Linked DNA regions of Arabidopsis thaliana. The main gene of each other region encodes a partner of the protein of the gene in region 2 in a complex. Each region holds a gene or a part of one and is shown on either strand. Other genes may lie near its edges.

Region 1 (3,755 bases), about 11 Mb from region 2:
AGTTCAACGACTAAAAATAACCCAACATAACAAGGTTCAGGAACACAAGGATCAGTCAGAGGTCGGGAACAAAGACAAGACTGCCACTTTACATGTTGCTATCAAACAAGGCAGTGCCGCTACGGTTAATATATTAGTCTGGTCTAGAAGAAACTTAAACCCTGATCAAACAGGTAAAAAAAGAGCTACGATTTCATCCTTCACGCATATGGGCACCGAGTTCACCAAACTGATCATCGGCTTCTACAGTGTTATCTGAGAGACGGATTGCATCAAGCTTCTGCTTCAGGATATCAATGGCATTTAGTACCAGCTGAGAAGCCTTCAATGCACCTGTGGACTCAACAGTGAATACAAAACTATCATGTTTCGGATGGATCTCAATGAGTCCCGGTTTCCCCATTGCTTCAGCTTTCTTGATCACTTCTTCATCGTAAGTGTATGCTTCAGGATCAACCACCACAACCTAAGAAGCAAAGTATTATAATTACAGTTGTGATGATTCAAACAATAGACTGCAAAAGAAATGAGCTAAACGCACTAAACACTTAAAGAAAATTCATACACCACATCACATACATATATTTCAAAGCATGGTAGCCTATAAAGTAGTACAATCATATTGAAGTCTCAAAGCTATAAACTTGTATAGATGTTATTCTTACAGAACATCGAAATTAACCTGTCCGGTGACTGGGTCAATGCCAAACACTTTGGTAGGACTGCTCTCAATCAAGTCAATTTTTTCCTCATCTGTCAAAGTGTTCATCATCTCTTCATTGATAATAATGTCAGGCTCATACATATACGTAACAGTAGCTGCAGGAGACCATTTCGCATGATCTTTCCCAATTCCTTTCCTAGCTAATGCTTTAAGCTTCAACTCTTGTCCCCTGCGTAGTTTCGCAATGATAATTCCCCTGAAACCAAAACAATAACAGTCTAAGAAACTGCAGAAAAAAAAGCCACAGAACTACCAAAAGGAAGACTCATGCAAAGGGCATCTAAAGATGTCAAATTTTGTTTAGCATTGTGTAATATCTAAGCTTAGCAATTCCAATCAATTCATAAAGAACAAATAATCACTACAATGATGAAAAGGGACTTACTTGTGCTCGCTTGAATCAGAAGTAGATGAGTTACTAGTGAAATCAACAGGAGTAACAGTAGGATCAGCACTGTAGAGATCCCTACTAGTAACATCTAGGGTTTGGTCAGTAACACACTTAGCACTAAGGGGAAACTCAACAGAGCAGAACTCGCAATGTTCATCTCCATTACAATCTTCACAATCTTGACAGAACCGCATGCTCATAGCACGCTCGCTAGTGAGAGGGATGAGACTAAGTCGTTGAGCAATGAACTCGTCGTTGAGAACAGAGGAATTAACCTCGATTTTGACGAGATGGATTGCCATGGTGGGGACTTCGGAGATCATTACGCGACGGAGAGCGTTGGCCATTGAAACGTCGGTTTCACGAAGCTCGAACTTGGCGTAGTCATCTTTAAGCTCACGGATCTTCACCGTTGGGAATCTTTGGTAGGTGACACCGTCCATTTCAAAAGCTGTTCCTTCTGACGACTCTGGGACTCTTAGGGTAATGACTTTTCGATTTCTTCGCCGGAGAAGAAGAAGAAATTTGGAGAGAGCAAAGTGAGTGAGAGTGGAAAAAGGTATAAGAAGAACTATAGTAGTTTAAGTTGGGCCTATATGGGCCTATTCTTTTGTTTACTGGGCATTTTCAGGCTTCTCATAACAGTTATTGGGAATGGTCAAAATGTCTACAATGGATTTTCTGTTTACATCAATTCAAATAATGACCCAATGTTATTTTAAGACTTTTTAATCTTTATAATTTGAATTACATAATAATAATTTTGGAAATACAAATATTAAAAAGAATCGAAATTCCATATTTTTAACAGTAACTTGGATTAAAAACATTATATAAAGAGTAAAAAGGATTAAAAATGCATTGGTTCATAAAGAATAATGGTAAATTTGTTGTTTTAATCTTTATATAGTGTTTTTCCAAAATTATTCTTTCTAATTACAATTAAAATTTTTTTACATAATTAATTTTAATGGTAATTATGTGAATGGTTTCGGACAATGTACAAGTTGTACTCATCATTATTCCGCTTATTTTCATAATTATTCCGCTTATTTTCATTGACACAATTAAATCTTGACCTAAATCTAAAAGATTACATATAATATATTTTATCCAACAGAAAATATAAATTATTTTTAAAAATAGAATTTTAGTGGGTTTTGGGGCTTTAAGTGCACTGATCATGTCTGGTCCAAAATTCTAATATTGCTTTCCTTTTTTATTTTTATTTTGCCAAGAAACCAATTCCGGGTTTAACTTCCTTGTAAAACCATCCTTTTCATATATATGATATTTGCAGTTTAGCCAAAAAAAAAAAGTTGAATTTTAATCAACATTTTTAAGCACGACGGTTTCAACTAGTAGTACCATATCGCGGGTTATACCATTACCGGAATTTATTAGAGATTTTCAAAATTTACCTGATTGAAAATTAGCGGATTGTAGTGTTGGAGCCAAACTGGATTAGTGACTGAGTCATCGGGTTTACCGGGCCAACCGCGGTTCCGCTCGAATCTGAATACATTTCCCTCGTCAAAATAAAAAAAGTCAGAGGACGATTGGTCGATGAGAAAAACATTTAATAAAGGAAAAAAAAATGAAAAAACAAATGGGGCCTTTGGAGCGATGTGATGACGTGGCAACCCCCGGAGACTTTCAAATAGCATATTGAGAGTTTTACATGCATGTGAATATCAAGGGTAACATCTAGAGTCATATGAATTGCGCGTGTTATGTCGTTGTTAGTCGTTCATGTTAACAATAATCTACGTATACCGTTTGTGACTTTTAAAACTAAGTTCATGAACCTATTACATATAGATCAAAATCTGGACCATAATTTTATTGGTGTATTGTTAGAAACTTAAAGTTCATATCACTTTCTCTATGTTTCGTGGCCTACTTGCAATTTTTTAGGAATCTTTTGACCATTAGTTTTTTAAACGAGTTTAGGACTTTGATCACTAAGGTAAATCGTTTAAACAATTTGGGATCACTTAATTATTGACATGATTGTATGTTTTGATTGGGCATGTCAAACAGATCTCAATATTTATGTAATTACAAATTATTGCATATTTCAATACATCAATGTCATGGTCTTCACAACGTGCCTGACAAATCCTAGTTGTTTGGATTCCAAATTGTTAATAATTCACAAGAGCTCTCCCATAGGAAGTTTCTTCGATAATTCTGAATATTATATAATACAAAATCACAATTTGGAGTTTAAAGACTTTTCTTCTATTAAACAAAATAGAGTCACGTTTGGAGTTCGTTGATAGTCACAACTTAACAATGACACATTAGAATATTCAAAGTTTTATCTTATTGATCAGTGATTGACATTAAAAGTTGTAATCAAGTTATATAAGCGTTGTAAACTCTTTTTGAATCATCTTCACAAACTAAAAGTCAACATGTATCATATATTTCAGATCTCCGGCGAAGTTATCAAGGGTTTGGGATTGAAGACGAAAATTCTGATAACCATCGTCTTTAGTACCTTACTAATTTTGTCTGTTATGTTACTTTCATTCTCAAACAACTTCAACAATAAACTTTTTGCTGCTACAATCAACGGTAAGAAAGAAAAAAATAAGCATCCATGTTTTGTCATTCATTGTTAGCTCAAAGAAT
Region 2 (3,755 bases):
GAAAGAGCTGAAAATATAAACAAAACGAGTTTAAGAAACGCATCGGTATGTAACATGCGACTCACTGAGCTCGTCTTTGTATGTGACCTTCATGACTTGCCCTGTCTCTAGTCCATAGTATCGCACAATCGGGTCTTTGCTCGATAACCGAGGAAGCTAACCAAAAAAAACATTCTAATTCAGAGAAAAGCTGGCTCAGAGTCAGAGCTACTAGTACTAGTAATGATCCAAATACCAAAAAACTTGCTTACTTGTTTCTCCTCAATACTGAACTTCTTGAGAAGTGATTCCTTCTCTTTATCGTTCAGAACCTGATGTTTTGGCCTCAAGACATGTTTGCTTACGTTAACCAACAAATCGGTAATCTAACAACACAACAAGCGCAACCAAGATGTTATGAGCCAAATGTGGGAACACATAACCTAACACGGTACTCAAGATAAAGATATATTACCTCGAATAACTCGACCTTAAAGGAGAAAAGTTCAACGGCTTTAAGAGCTTGGTTCGTTATATGACTTTGCAAAACCAGTATCAGTCCGGTTATATTTTCTCGGCTAAGCACATCTGCTGCAATGACGCGCATCGCATTGACTTTAACTATACCAGTTCCACAAAACACTACCGAGATCTGAAATTCAAATCAGAGAAATTGCTATGTACTTGTGACTTCAGTGACAACAGCAAACGACGATAATAAATTTCAAGGAAACAACCTCGCTGAGGAGTTCTTTTGCAGTTCGGCCTAAGCCAAGTACTATATTATTAACTCTGAATAGGAGAAGCCAAGAACAGAGAATAATGTGAAAATTGTTTATTAGAACTCTTAACCTTACAAGTATTACTATGGTAATTACACATTAACTAACTGATTAGTGCTAACAAACCCAATTACCTAACCATTCTTATCTAACCAAATTTAAACCAGTCGAACCATTTAGATTTTTGCCAGAAGAAACAACGTCTCTGTTTCAAAAACAGAGGAATCAGATAAAACCAAACCTAACTAGGAACCAAGCTGGAAATCAGAGGAAGTCTTTAAAAGTAGAATGCTTTCTTCAGACAAATTGCATATTACATACAACTAAATCAAGTCAATGGAAAACACTAAGTAGATTTCAAAAGCTAGGCAGAAAAATCAACATGCAGAGAAAGAAAACCATCAGAAATCGAAATCACATTCGTATTCGTATCGAATTCCAATTACCTTTTTCGAAGAATCAAAGCGATGTTTGGCTGAGATACGAAGTAGATCTACGTCAGGATGTTCCCCATAGAGCGCTCGAAATTGCTGGAGGGAGAGGTTAATATCTTCGTCGGAGACATCGTATCCTCTGTCTCGGAGCATCTCCATGGTGGTTCGACGTGCCAGGTAATATTTGTGACACTCTACACTTGATTTACTAATGGAATGTCCAACCACTATCTCTTTCCCTTTCCCCTCCATCGTCTCTCTCTCTCTCTCGGTCTCGGGGAAGGAAGCAAAGCTTGAGTAATGTGAGGGGTTTGAAGATGATAAGACCCGTTGTCGTTTTCAATAATCAGTTTACCCGTGACGTTTTTACCGTGACAGCGGATGAAGTTTACAAACAGACTTGGATGGTAGCCAATGATCAAGCAGGTGATGTAGTCAAAGGCGATTGTTCTGTAACTTTAGTGACACTGGTTTTTGGAAAAATGGTAAGCCATACTAAAATAGCTAGAAGAGATAAGATAGTAGATGACGTTAAGAGACAATTACTGTGGAATGCCTAGTAACATTTTCGTTACCGCTACTGCCGTAACAGGTCATCTGTAAAATGTAACAAAAACAAATTTGTACAAGACCAAAAGGCCAAAACAGCAAACTCTAATTTTTCAGTTTGCATATCCATATTAAAAAAAGGTTTAGCTATTATTTTCAAAGAAATAAAATAGTTCTAGGTTTACATAAATATTTTCATCCTGTTTGTATTTGTTTGGAAAAAAAAATCATTTTATAACATGTAAATTACAAAGATCAACGTGAAGAAACAATTGAGGCTTGACATTCTAGGTTTGAGCTTTAGGCCACTTCTTATAATATACAGCATGAAAACAAACAAATCATTCAAAGAACACAACCAACCAAACATATCTTAAGTCAAAAGTTATATCTTTAGATTCTTTTTCTTCTCTTCACATTTTCACAACAACATCACTCAAACGAATCCAATTACTAAAGACAACACTTGTTACAACGTACCAATCCATTCTCATTGCATCCATTGCATCTCTTAAACCCATCTTCTTGTTCCTCAAACACTTTAGTACTACCGCCACAATTAGTACACGGCACAAACCTTGCATCTCCGCAGCTATCGCAGGCTCCAATGGATTCGCAAGCAGGAAAATCTTTTAACATCTCTGCCAGTTCACCTCCATCGTTGAGTATCTTGATCTCCTCAATTCCACCAATGCGGACGCCTCTTATAAACACCTGAGGCAAACAAACCGGTTTCTCTTCGCCGAGTGCATTCTGAAGCTCTTTCCTGTATTTGGAGTCCATTGAGATGTCACGCTCCTCTACCGCAACCTGAAACCCTCTCAATATCGCTCTAACGCAACAACAATCTTCATACGTCTTTCGAATTCCTCTGAGGCTAGTGAAGTATACTACTATCTTGTTCTCGTTATCTTCTTTTTCAAGCAATCTTGGTTTCTCTTGGTCTTTTTCCGAAGTCTGAGAACTCAATGGACTAGAAGATACATATTCTGGTAAACTGACTAAAACCGAATGATTTGAGTGGCCATTGCTACTGTTCTTGCCTAGCTGTTTGGAGGACAGTGCTCTTTTGTAAGATGAGATAATGTTAGGATCTAAATCAGAGAGAAATGATTCTTCAGACATATGTTTCCACAGAGGTTGCTTAGGTTTAAAAGGCAATAATCTCCAATCTTCCTCATCTTCGTAAGATCCATACGCAGACCCATTAATAACCACGTCTCGATTCGTGATGGGTTTAGAAAAGGAATCCAAATTTACGACGGAATTACTCTTACTTGTATCGGAATTCGCGGAATCGAATTCGTCGTCGAGGTCGTTCATGAGCTCCCATGTGTTGATCACTGAGTCAGGAGAGAACGAGTCGCGAGCCTCCTCTGTTTCAGGCATCTTCTTGTTACTCTTCCCGGAAACGGAGATGTGAGGCAATGTTTGTCTGTCGTCGAGAACAAGAGAACCGTAAGTGGTCGATGTAAGAGAGACAAAGTGGTGTGTGTCGCCTTTTTTAGCAGGTGGATGATGAATCGACGGCATCGGAAATGTGAAAGCTTTAGGTACCGATGAAGAAGGGATGTTGAATTCCGTCTCCGGAGGTGAATTCAAAATCGATGTTATAGAAGAAGCAGAAGCAGAGGAAGCGGTTTTAGAAACAGAGGAACCCATAATTTCGAAGCAGAACAGAGAAGAAGAACAAATGTAGTTTCTACACTCTTTTTCTGGGTATCTTGTACTTTTTCTTTTGTCGGAGAATATAAAAGAAGAAAGAGAAAAAAGAAAGACAGAGAGAGAAGAAACAGGTGGAAAGGAGCTGTCTAAGTAAGTTAGAGGTGGAAGATGGTGAAAACACTAAAGAAGACGATTGTGATGTTGATTCGTCCATATCGAATTTGCTTTGATTTGATAACTAAGGTAAGTATCCATTTGATCCTTATTTTTAGAGCTTAATTTCAGAAAAGTAATTATAACTGAAATCAAAGAAAGTAAACTGTCAAGATCCTCAAAAATTGCATAA

Evidence for each region. Proteins that work in one complex are often made in the same cells at the same time.
Region 1: RPB5D (region 2) and NRPE3B share a complex: the UniProt entries of both Arabidopsis thaliana proteins name them as parts of the RNA polymerase IV and V complex.

Annotation. Positions count from the first base shown.
Region 1 is NC_003071.7:6,710,825-6,714,579, reverse strand, and holds the start of NRPE3B (DNA-directed RNA polymerase family protein), read right to left. Parts: upstream 1,686-3,755; 5' UTR 1,559-1,685; coding exon 1,110-1,558; intron 921-1,109; coding exon 683-920; coding exon of another isoform or gene 662-682; exon of another isoform or gene 467-661; coding exon 194-466; 3' UTR 1-193. Other genes in the region: FUT4 (fucosyltransferase 4), read left to right, coding at 3,536-3,698. UniProt on the Arabidopsis thaliana protein: DNA-dependent RNA polymerase catalyzes the transcription of DNA into RNA using the four ribonucleoside triphosphates as substrates.
Region 2 is NC_003071.7:17,226,718-17,230,472, reverse strand, and holds the start of RPB5D (RNA polymerase II fifth largest subunit, D), read right to left. Parts: upstream 1,714-3,755; 5' UTR 1,448-1,713; coding exon 1,208-1,447; intron 632-1,207; coding exon 455-631; intron 366-454; coding exon 252-365; coding exon of another isoform or gene 180-251; exon of another isoform or gene 175-179; coding exon of another isoform or gene 157-174; coding exon 31-156; 3' UTR 1-30. Other genes in the region: AT2G41330 (Glutaredoxin family protein), read right to left, coding at 2,198-3,406. UniProt on the Arabidopsis thaliana protein: DNA-dependent RNA polymerase catalyzes the transcription of DNA into RNA using the four ribonucleoside triphosphates as substrates.